Daphnia pulex: one gene and its partners. The protein of the gene in region 2 interacts with the protein of the main gene of each other region in a pairwise test. Links are inferred from orthologs where the notes say so. Each region holds a gene or a part of one and is shown on either strand. Other genes may lie near its edges. The genes, in order: peripheral plasma membrane protein CASK-like, epidermal growth factor receptor kinase substrate 8-like and E3 ubiquitin-protein ligase Su(dx)-like.

Evidence for each region.
Region 1: the proteins of epidermal growth factor receptor kinase substrate 8-like (region 2) and peripheral plasma membrane protein CASK-like interact in a two-hybrid assay, tested with the Caenorhabditis elegans proteins (4 studies listed by BioGRID). The link is inferred for Daphnia pulex from reciprocal best matches to the Caenorhabditis elegans genes eps-8 and lin-2.
Region 3: the proteins of epidermal growth factor receptor kinase substrate 8-like (region 2) and E3 ubiquitin-protein ligase Su(dx)-like interact in a two-hybrid assay, tested with the Caenorhabditis elegans proteins (2 studies listed by BioGRID). The link is inferred for Daphnia pulex from reciprocal best matches to the Caenorhabditis elegans genes eps-8 and wwp-1.

Annotation. Positions count from the first base shown.
Region 1 is NC_060018.1:1,069,604-1,073,771, reverse strand, and holds the start of peripheral plasma membrane protein CASK-like, read right to left. Parts: upstream 2,936-4,168; 5' UTR 2,791-2,935; intron 2,420-2,790; 5' UTR 2,402-2,419; coding exon 2,343-2,401; intron 2,279-2,342; coding exon 2,166-2,278; intron 2,106-2,165; coding exon 2,000-2,105; intron 1,929-1,999; coding exon 1,851-1,928; intron 1,787-1,850; coding exon 1,611-1,786; intron 1,543-1,610; coding exon 1,367-1,542; intron 1,281-1,366; coding exon 1,158-1,280; intron 1,081-1,157; coding exon 891-1,080; intron 3-890; coding exon 1-2. Other genes in the region: ATPase family AAA domain-containing protein 2-like, read left to right, coding at 3,401-3,631, 3,693-4,049, 4,112-4,168. UniProt on the Caenorhabditis elegans protein: May play a structural role in the induction of the vulva. May be required for the localization of signal transduction molecules (such as let-23 receptor) to either the basal membrane domain or the cell junctions.
Region 2 is NC_060018.1:7,750,249-7,753,226, forward strand, and holds the end of epidermal growth factor receptor kinase substrate 8-like, read left to right. Parts: intron 1-1,032; coding exon 1,033-1,224; intron 1,225-1,297; coding exon 1,298-1,466; intron 1,467-1,553; coding exon 1,554-1,689; intron 1,690-1,769; coding exon 1,770-1,998; intron 1,999-2,089; coding exon 2,090-2,193; 3' UTR 2,194-2,380; downstream 2,381-2,978. Other genes in the region: DEP domain-containing protein 1B-like, read right to left, coding at 2,630-2,779, 2,845-2,978.
Region 3 is NC_060026.1:2,733,750-2,738,161, forward strand, and holds the start of E3 ubiquitin-protein ligase Su(dx)-like, read left to right. Parts: upstream 1-1,607; 5' UTR 1,608-1,959; intron 1,960-2,040; 5' UTR 2,041-2,146; coding exon 2,147-2,240; intron 2,241-2,304; coding exon 2,305-2,449; intron 2,450-2,510; coding exon 2,511-2,667; intron 2,668-2,738; coding exon 2,739-2,887; intron 2,888-2,966; coding exon 2,967-3,290; intron 3,291-3,357; coding exon 3,358-3,513; intron 3,514-3,576; coding exon 3,577-3,685; intron 3,686-3,761; coding exon 3,762-3,928; intron 3,929-4,008; coding exon 4,009-4,137; intron 4,138-4,268; coding exon 4,269-4,412. Other genes in the region: alanyl-tRNA editing protein Aarsd1-B-like, read right to left, coding at 9-149, 223-289, 351-481, 553-669, 732-850, 928-1,180, 1,246-1,374, 1,445-1,483. UniProt on the Caenorhabditis elegans protein: E3 ubiquitin-protein ligase which accepts ubiquitin from an E2 ubiquitin-conjugating enzyme in the form of a thioester and then directly transfers the ubiquitin to targeted substrates. Ubiquitinates klf-1.

The DNA of each region.
Region 1 (4,168 bases), about 6.7 Mb from region 2:
ATCTAACGAAATGAAACAACAACAACAAAAATGAACATTTAACCAGCATCCTTTAAAACACGAAAGCATGTTGAAGGGATACTAGAAAACCATTTTAGTACGCGTGAAATGCAGTATGCTGATAATCCGTAAAAAGGAATTCGATCAATTAGCGGGCACACTTCTATTTTAAAATAAACCCAACTTTAAGCTTTCACGTGTTAAAGTTTTATTTACTTGGTATCAAAGTAATAAAAAGTAAATTTCCTGCAATGTGCTCTCCTTTCATTCGGCAGGCATCCAACAAGAGGTGCCAATCAATGAAATCCAATCAGGACGAAAGCCATCCCCCAATAAAAGAGCGGATGTGATCCCCCCGTCCGTCAATGAAAGCCTTTTTTACTAGCGGAATCCTCTTCAATGGAGTAAACCAGCCACAACTCTTAAACCGCAAATGGAAACCGGAGACGACTACCATATGGGATTCCCCCGGTTGGAAATAAAAGCGACTCAATATGGTTCGGAAAGAAATTTACGAGCGATAAATTTAGCATTTCGTTTGAACAAAAACTCAACTATTATCCAAGGTTGGAAAGAATTGGATTTTTGCGTATTACGGCACCGATTTATCGAGGAACACGTATTGCAAGTTAAAATTAAAAATAAGTTATCAAGATTGGTCGTGCAAATCTATGAAGAGAAATAAATCTAAATAAAGCTAGCTGAAGTTCACGGTATCCGGTTTCCACAAATTCTCTTGTTCCTGCGAACGCCCTCTTGCTACACATCCACCAACTGACGTAATTGCTACATACAATATCCCCGCAAACATTCATGCAACTCCAAAGGGGAATCGAAAAATAATCTATTTAAAAGCCCGTAGGTCACTATTAAAATAGTGCGTGACTTACTGTTGGATATTGATTCATCTTCATCAATATCGGAAAAGGCGTCGCAGTTGGGATCTAAAGAAGGATGCCCCCATTTGATGGAATTTGCCGTGGCCACGATCAAACTCTTGAGCTTCCTACGAGCATTGAATATGCGCATCTCTTCTACGGTGAGGTGGAGGTGGTCTCTGGAGGCGCACTTGTCTCGATTCTGAATACAAATCAAGCAGTCAAAGCAGGTTTTGCATTGGTCACGTCCACAAAGGCAAGGAAAAATTCAAAATTCACCTTGAGCCACCGGTGTTCCAAAGCTTCGTGAACCGATAGACGATCGTTTTGGTCGACGCACAAAAGCTGCTGCAGTAAATCCTTTGCGTGGTCACTAATGGCTCCCCAGACTGGAGCATCGAACTGCAAAATTGCCCAGGAAAAATGCGGACAAATTTAGAAGGATCTAGGCTAGAAGGCCTTGAAATAAATTTACGATGTCCACTTACGTGCAGCTCGCCACTGCAGATGGTGTATCTCAAGGATTCGTCTGTCCCCAAAAAAGGTTGTGTTCCAGACAGCAGAATATGGAGCAATACTCCTGCACTCCATATGTCCGACGCTTTGCCATGCGGTCGATTTAAAGCCATTTCAGGGCTAATATAGAAGCTATCTCCCAATCGACCTATACAAAATTAATACTTGAACTAATACTGTACATTGAATGGGAAAACATAACATCAACAATCAGACCTGATGTCACCACATCTTCGTCAGTAAGACGCTTAGCGCATCCGAAACCCGCTAGTTTTACGGGCGCCGAATTTTCTTTATTTGCAAGCAAAATGTTGTGAGGTCGTAAATCTCGATGGATAATGTCGTGATCATGGCAGTAACGGAGTGCCTCAAGCACTTGACGAAAATAATGGCTAAACAAACCAACCAAAGGTTAATGTAATTCCAACTTACGTTTAAGAAGGTAAATTAGGTTACCTTGCTACAGCTTCACTATAAACAAAACCAGATGTGGCACGTTTAACAATTTCTATACACAAATCAGCTCCTTCCATCCTAATTTTTTTAAAAATAATAGATTCAGTCAATCATTACCCATATGTACAAGCAGGAGTGTAAAAACTTACAATTCATACACCATGTACACCATTCCTTCAGAACTGTAGGTTTCTAATAACTCTACTATGTGGGGGTGTTTAAGCATGTGGCATATGGTGGCCTCAAGTTTAAGATCTAAAAATAATTTGAAATAATTAGGGATTAGTAAAGTTAAAAATCTACATTTAAACATACTGTCAAGTGTGAGTGACGGAATGGCAGTAAATTTGGCTGCATCAACAATTTTAACAGCAAAATGTTGTGCTGTTAACCGGTGGGTGCAGCGCCTAATAACACTGCATGAACCCCTGAAATTTAATTTAATGACAAAAAATTATTGGGAAAATGATAAAGTTTAATGATGATGTTTACCTCCAAATAACTTCTTGTAACTCGTAAGCTTCATCAAACAAAATATCATCTTCAGTCATTTTGAAGCTTGTAGAACACTGTTGAGAAAGAATTCAAATTCAGGTTAGTAAGAAATAGAAAGGAAGTGCTGTCATTCTTATTGTGTGGGTGCATTAATTGAGTTCAACCAACCATTTCCTGATCTATCAGGTTCACTTTCAGCCTAAGAAGGAAATGGCAACTAAACACCCTTCTATAGAAAAGTAACCTTAAAGAATAAACATATCTAAAAGAATTTGATTGCAGGTTTACTAAACATTCCCCTCCCCTTTCCCTTGCCATAATAATATTTCCACTAGCATGCTGTTTCCTGTGAGTGCTGCCAAAAAACGCCCATCCCCTTCTCCGGTACGAATATGAGAATTCAAACGACGATGATTTTGATTCTTGATAGTAGATAGGTACTTACATTAGCAATTTGGTCCAAAACAGAAAAATTTCACCAAACAAACGCAACTAATAAATGTACAACAAGTCTTTAAGCCATTCTTGGACGAAGCGTCTTGCCTTGCCCATTACACACAGAGCAGACATTACTTCGATCTTTTCCCTGGATCCCAGCCTAGGCTATCCGCAGCGCCTCTAGTGTCATTCTAAGGAAATCCCTGCGTACTATTTTATTCCTGAAGATCACTATGTTATTGTATTTTTGTGTCTCGGAAAAGCGCTTGATTATTATCGAATTAGACAATTACGTTGGGATTTCAGTTAAAAAGCAATCGTGAGTTGATCTTCTTGGAGAAATGAGCAACTTTTCTCCTAGAGAACAGTTTAGTTCTTCTGTGTTTTTTCATTTTTTCTTTTGAAAATTTAAATGTGAGCCACCATTTTGCGCCGATTAAAGGTCGTGGTCAGAACAAGCTTCGTTAACCTTCCTCCTTTTCGTTAAACCGTGGAAAAAGTGAAGTTGAGCTTTTGTTGTCCTAAAAGAATTGGCGGTTTATTACGATTAACTCACTAAGCGTGTCAATAACGACTTGTCATAACAAGTGCGATAGTTTTTTAAGGTAAATTTTAAAATGCTTACCCGAGGTAAAATTCCTAATGTTTCGGACGGAGCAAACTGTCAAGATAGTGAGGACAAAGAGGATGATGATGAAGAAACTATGAACGATGACAATTCTTCTGAAAAAGATTCCTCTTCGAGCAAAGATGAGCAGAGTGAGTGTAAAGTACCCTTTCGGCCCCTTTCAGCTCTTCAAATGAAGCGAACTCCTTCAGCAGATCGTGCCAACATGTCACCAGTTTTGGTAAGAAAACATTTTCAATAGGCATAGTAGTGTTTTTTTCAATAATTTTTTCTGCTTCCAGACTGGTCAGCGTTCATCAAGATCTAATTCTAGAAGAGGCCAGTTTGTCAACGAAATTTCTTCAGAGGATACTCCATTGTCAAAACGTCAAGTGATGAAAAGTGGAGGAGGCAAGAGAAAGAGGCTAGTCTTGGTCGAACCAGAAGAAACTTCACAGGAAGCAGAAGCAAAGCTCAACAGTGCAGAAGAAAGTCACGATGAAGAAGTAAACAGTACAAACCAAAGAAAGATTTCTGTTGCAGAAAGTGAAACTGAGAAGCATGATGAAAGTCATGATGGTGTTCGCAGGAGCCAGAGAGCAAAAAGACAAATGTACACTTACAACGACAGTTGGATATTTGCTGAAAAAAATGTCAAGGTTAGTGTTATGAATTTTTCTCATGACTAGAGTTATAAGATTTACACTTGCTGAATTTTTAGGGATATCCTGCTGCAATCAAAGAAGAAGACACAGCAGCAGAAGGAAATGACCGAATG
Region 2 (2,978 bases):
CCTTCCGTTCTTTTGTCTTATGTCAGTTTCAATTACTCGTTTAGGTTTTTGTTCTTATGTGCATTCCCTTTACATAGTAGAGTCTCAACATCCAATTTGTTTGTTTTCCCATATTTTGAATTTTTATTACGCTTGATTGAGGACACTCCCAAAGACGGTCGATGACCCTTGCATAATCTCCATTCTTCTCCTCTCTCTTAGAGTTTTGTATCTTTACGATTTTTTTTTCTCCACCATTTACATTTGACTTGTGTACGAATACTTGCTATATAGGTGCTAATCGTTTATGTGTGTCTCTCGGTTGATGACGCCCAACGAAATTTGTGCCGTTGTGCTGAGTGTGTGGTTGACGAGGCTGACCGTAAAAAAAGAAAAATGTTGAATGCTGTTCTCGTGATGGAAAATATACCGTCCATATTATTCATATTATACGTTTGTGTGCCCGTCAGCGTGCGTATATATGTCTTTTGCGTCTGTTTGTCCATGCGCTACGTGTAACCGCTGCCCGCCGCTCTCTCTCTCTCCTTCCCGCTTCGGTAATCCTCTCGCACTTTCTACGTCGTACATTGACGGAGTTTCGAGTCTCGCGTGAATTATCAGCGACGCTCCTTTTGATTATTTACGTAAAGATATGGCAGCCAAAAGACGAACTCGTACGTGTATTTCACAGCCACTTCGCCACGGTCCAGCTGTGACCAACTGCAAAGTGCCGCTGCCTATACATCCATGATACGTCTTACATGTGATGAATAATTCTAACCCCAGACGTGGCTTTCTCTTTTCTCAAAAAACAAAAAGGGAAAGTAGGCAGCAAGCATCGCAGTTAGTTAAGTAGCCAAAATTGTTAGGAGTAGAATGTCTGAAAGTTTAGCTGTTAGCGTTTTGGCTGAAAGTTGGTTTCGGATCTTAATTGGCCACAAAGTTGCCGTGTCGATGGTGGTCAGATGTAACTCAGACGGATGAAAGGATGGAAATATGCACCCTCAGACCTACGATCGTTTTCCTAATTACGAGATGGCTATTTGATGAAAGGTGCTGACACCAGCGATAGCTACAGCGAGGACAGTGACGGCCTGCCGGCCAAGAGCCGCCGACAGAGACGTAGAGCCGAGTCGGTGATTTCTATTCCGCCACCACCTCCACCTCTACCGCCCAAGGAGGTTGAAATCATAAAAAAACCAATCAAAAAGGAGGAAGCCATTAAACCGAAACCTATGACAAGAAGTATTAAAAAATGCTAATATCTTGTTAAATATTTAAAAAGAGAAAATGTTGAAACTGATTTATTCTTCTCCAGGCCTCAGCAGTCAAGACATGATGGTCGAAGAACTGAAGAACCTATTAGACATTTACCAACCGGAAAAAAATAAATTGGATATTCGTAAAACTCCCGAAATGTACATTACACTCAAATCAACTCCCGACGAAGTTCGCGATTGGCTCAAAGCCAAGGAATTCGATATTGTGTACGTAATTCATTCAATATGATAGACATTATCCAACAAAACATTAGAAATCTAAGCCATGTTTTAAAACACACATTTAAAAAATAGGATTCAGAAGCGTTTGAATGGCATGAGCGGTGAAGAGTTGTTTAAGCTGAAAAAGGCAGATTTGGAAAAGTACTGTGGCAAAGAAGAAGGTCATCGACTGGATTCACAGTTAACTCTTCAGCGCAGAGCATCAGGGGTATTTACAGTTTTTCATTAGTTTCCCATTAATTAACCTTTGTTGCAACGATAATGAAATTTTGTTATTTTATTTTTTAGTATCAAACAATGCGTTCATCTGAACTTCAAGAAGCATTAAAGAGAGCCCGAATGAAAACAGAAACCAAGAACGATCAACCAAAGAATCCTACCAAAAAAGAAGAGGAACGATCGCGCTCCTCTGAAACAGGTGGATCGCACAACAAGAATGATCGTGACTCCTCTCCGACGGTCCAGAAAGCACCGAAGAAACAAACCAAAGCCAAAGCACCCCTGAACTTAGACAGCGGTAATAAATTTTATTCCATTTGTGAAATGAAAATTTAAGCGGCCAAATAATCCATACATTTTCACGAACTTTCTTCTTTTGAAATATGCAGACTATGATTCCGATGACGACATCGTCATCCCAACCGGGACGCTACGTGACATTATTCGCAAACAGAAAAAGAAGATGCAAAGCACTAGTAGCAACGACGACTAGAAAACCTAGATTATTTTTTTTAAATATTTCTAACAGAGTATAATAAGTTTCCTTGAGAATTATGCTTTACTATATTATCTTTACTGTACGAAATTCATCGAATATTTAGTACTATATAATTACATGGATCAAAGTTGTTAAAATTGATGAAGCAATCTTAAATTTTAGAAATAGACGGACAAATGTATTTCCAGTATTATGCTTATTAAGAATATTCATATCAAATGAAATATTTTTGATTAATCCCCATCCTGAATATGTGGATTTCAAATTAGTAGGCCTACTGAGCTCCTTGAGCAAGCCCCAATGGGTTTGGATACCATAGTACAGTATTTAAACTGACAATACACGTTAACAGCATTGAAAGTTAGTCAAATTAGCAAGGGAAATCTAAAAATAGTTAAAAAAATATACGATCGTCATAATATCATTAAAATCATGTAAGACGTAGGTTGCGGATCCGGGAAAACACGGTGGACTGGTTGCTTGAACGCTTTTGACCCTGCAATTGATGTCGCTCTTCCTTAAATATATCCGCTTCCGTGGGAAACTTGCTTCGGTAAATTTCTGGATAGGCAGCTTGAAACTAGAAATGGCAAAACAACGGAGTTAATTATTTTCGATTCTATAAATATCGAAATGTTGATCTACCTGCTTAAGCCTCTTTCGTTTCTCCTTGAGCGGCATATTTTGATTATTGACTATGTGCTCCAGCAGTTGATGAATTTCTCGTTTAGAATCCTCTTTCCGCTGTTCCTCGAAACGGCGTGGTGAAACCTGAACAC
Region 3 (4,412 bases), on a different chromosome or scaffold from region 2:
CTAGATACCTCAGAAGCCAGTTCTGAAATTAGAGCACTTGCATAATCGGCATCGCCGTCTTTGCGGTGAACAATCGAAAATTTCGGTTTCTCGGTTTTAATTTTCTCTGCCTGATTGACAGCTAATTCTTTCATCAAAGTTTGCAAAGTCTTAAAAGAAAAGAAAATTTTTAAATTAATCTACAGTCGATTAGGATACGGAGAAGTTCAAAAGTTGTTTTACCTTTTGTGATAACTTTACTGAGGCTTGTAATTTATTAGCTAAATCGACATGATCTTCAGGTCCGTTTCTGAAACGAGCAAATGAGTTAATCACTTGTCATTTCAACAATTATTTTAAGCATTTCATACTTCAGAATTTTAGTCAACTGGCGCTCCCTGTCAAGTGAACGATTGATGTAATCTAGCACTCGATTTCCACTTATAAAGAAGAGGTTGGTCTTATTTTTTTTACCCTTTTCAGCATAAAGCAGCTTTATGAACTAAATGAAGTATTTTAATCGATGGTTAATTATTGCTTGTACTATTGGGGGTAGTAAACTGCGTACAATACCTGTAAATGACTAAGGTTGGAAACGTGAGTTCCACAACACATGTTGCTGTCTACACCTAAAATAGTTACGACGCGAACAGGACCAACGTGGTCATCGGGAAGACCTCTAGAACGGACCTACGAACCCAATATGGTTTTCTTTAATTTAACTTTAATGTCAATTAAAGTAAAATTCTTACTTGGTCGGGTATCGCATCTCCTTCGTATACTTTTACTTCCACAGAGACAGCTTCCCTGATTTTCTCATTCACTTGGCTTTCAATGGTTTTTAGTTGGGCATCAGTCAGATTTACAGTATCTTGTAATTTAATATTAAGTGTCAATCAATGATGCTACAGAAAATTCTGAACACAAAGTTAAGAAGGAAAAATTTACCTAATTCAATATGGGAAACAGATTCCCCAAGCCACCAAGATGTTGTTTTGAAACCAAATGAAGCATCAGCAATTGCAGTGATTAGATGCTGCCCAGAGTGTTGCTGCATATGATCCCACCTTCTCTCCCAATCAATGACACCTGTAGCTAGAGTCCCAACATCCAGGCTGTCTTGTAAAAAATGGATGGCATCCTTCCCTCTTCTTTTGACTTGAAAGACAGGGATTCCGTTCAAGAAGCCTCTGTCATCAGGCTTTTGACATTTGAATTTTTAAAACCAATTCTATATGAGGATGTGTAATTTAACGTAAAAATTACCTGGCCTCCACCTTCAGGAAAAAAAACGGTATCTTCCAATAAGACTTCAAATGCTTGTACTTTCTCCTTTTTCCCCTGGACGAGCCTCTCGATCTGACACGGCGAACAAGAGACGACTTTGCTCGTAAACTACGAAACACCATACTGATCATTAATAGGATAAGAAAATACAAATACCAAAAAGGAAAATTTATTGAACCTCTTTCTTGTACGGTGATTTTTGACATTCAAAGACCATCGTAGACTTTTGGCAAATTTTGCACTGTTGTTATTTTTTTTTTCTTTCTAGCAGACAAAAATACAATCCATCTGTTGGCAATATTTACAACTTTGAAGAAAACACTAAGAGAAGAAATTGGCAACAGTGTTTTAAGCCAAGAAAAAATGGTGACTTATTGCAAAGACTTGTAGTCTTGTACTTGTGTTTTGTGTGTTTGCTATAATTGCAGCTATAATTTTATCTCGTTCAACGGGAAATACCACCAGAGTTTCTAATCTTTATACTGCCTGCTTGTATTTCGGTTTATTGACATTTTAAAGAGATAATTTTACTTTCGCGCTAATACTCAACTGAGCCCTGTAGGTGTATTTTTTTGCTGTTTTCACTTCACAGTGACATTTTTCTAAAGTCCTAAAGCCTGGTTGTTATAAAGATTATAAATTAATTTCAACACCGAAACATCATTCATGTTCCATGTAGCAGTGTGGATGCAGGTTAGTGGTTTGCATAGCAAAATCTTTATCAGTGATGACGTCAAAAATCAGTACTCATCTTATCTCTTAAATTTTTTACAGGTTCCTGTTCTGATTATGGGCTTTGATAGTATTGAAAACACCAGATCAGTTTAGTATCTGGTGTAGTTCTGAACTACAGCAACGTCCAAGGTCTGACCTCCATGAAATGGCTGAAACTGTTGCAGCTGTTGTAACCAGTTCCAATAGCGCAAGCTCTAGGAACAACAATGACTCCCACTTTCATCAACTAAATCTCTCAGGTTCAATGCAATTGATATTTAATCTTTACATTGGAAAAGTTCTAATCTGATTTATGCAATATAGTTCTAAAGGCCACTGTTGACCCAGTTTGCATAACAAAAAAGCCTTCACCATATGTTGAAATCTTGGTTGATGGGAAAGTGGTTTGGAAAACTGAGGCTGTGAAGAACACACATGATCCCACTTGGTCTTGTGAATCCTTTACTGTGTATGTACAGTTGCTATGATTCAGCACATTTGCAAGTGTCTTATCTTATTTATTTTTCTAGTCTTGTGAAAATCAATTCAAAATGTCTACTGAGGCTCTACAGTCATTCAACTTTCAAGCGAGATTTGGTTCTAGGAGAAGGCAGAATAGATATCCAAAAACAACTAGTACGAGAACAAGGGAAATTTGATAAAACCAGTCTTGTTCTGGATGTTAAGGTAAGCCTCATACTTGATTACTAGAAAAACACAAAACAAACAAAATTATTCAATATTTCTGGCATCAATAGGGAGAAATAAAGAATACTAGCATTGCATCAACGACAGAAGCAGCTAACGGTCGCAGCTCTAAAGTGAAGATTGGAGAAATTTTTATTGTGATGGACGGAATGAGGGTAGATCCAAAATTGTTGACAGGCAGTAGTCGAAGCGCAACGAGGTAATAATGTGCAGCGTTCAAATGGAAGCGAGCGATTCATCATTATAAATCTGTGTGCTCCCATTTTTTTAATCATCAGAGTGAACGGAGAAACAGGTGAATCCAGCTCAACCGCTGAGATCCGGACGAACGGTGCAGCAGTAGCTCCTGTCACGAATTTGACCACGGGCGAAAATGGTGGCGGAGCTCGTCCTCGTACCCGATCGAATGATGTTGAAGCCGCCCCCATTCCAGCAGTAGTAACTGGTGTTCCATCCAGGACACCCAACGGAACACCGCAGCAGACGCCGTCCAGGACTCCCAACGGGACAGTGGCAGCACCGGCTCCGAGGACTGAAACTACCCCAGCCACGACAGCACCTCCGGCTGCTCCACCTGGCCCCGAAGAACCTCTTCCGCCAGGGTGAGTTGATGCTGTTGTTGTATCACATCCATTTGAAATGTAACTGACGTTATTTTGTCTTCATTAGATGGGAAGTCCGTTTCGATAAATACAACCGGCGCTACTACGTCGATCATAACACGCGGAGTACGACGTGGGAGCGCCCGCAGCCTCTTCCGGCCGGATGGGAGATGAGAAGAGACCCTCGTGGTCGAGCCTACTACGTGGATCACAACACTCGATCGTAAGTTTATTTAATGGTTTCAACTTTTTCAATTAAATTAATTCGTATTTGTAAATTAACCAGGACGACATGGCAAAGACCGAATGTTGAACGTCTGCAACATTACGAACAGTGGCAAGGCCAGCGAGCGCATGTTGTTCAACAGTGCAGCCAGAGATTCCTATTTCCACAGGTAGTTGATTCATTGATCATTGAGCTAATCGTGACGTCACTTGCATTGATGTTGTTGTTGTTTTTTTCCTAACTAGGGTGGAGGAGTCAGCACCGGAACGGCGGTGGTGACGGGTACGGAAGAGAGCGATCCGCTTGGACCTTTGCCAGAAGGCTGGGAGAAACGTGTCGAGCCTAATGGCAGGGTCTACTTTGTCAACCACAAGAATCGCACCACACAGTGGGAGGATCCGAGAACCCAGGGGTGTGTCTCTCACTTGTCAATTCATCGAAATCCCTCAATCAATCTATATCTCATTTCTTTCTTTCTCTGATTCATTTCAGGATGAACCAAGAAGATCCTTTGCCTCCCGGCTGGGAAATGCGAATCACGGACGATGGTGTTCATTATTTTGTGGATCACAATACCCGGACGACCACCTTCCAAGATCCTAGACCAGGCGCAACTAAAGGGTATGATTATGTTGTCCATCATTACTGCCACAACGTGTTCTATCCAGCTCGCCCGCTACTTGAAAGTGCTTTTATTGCTTTGTGTGTGTTAATTGCTTGTGTTTTTTTTTTCCTCATTGCGCTGGACGCAGTCCGAAAGGTGCCTATGGCGTTCCCATCGCTTACGAGCGCTCATTCCGCTGGAAGCTATCTCAATTCCGCTATCTGTGTCAGAGTAATGCCTTACCATCACACATCAAGATCACTCTCAACCGGTCGACGCTCTTTGAAGATTC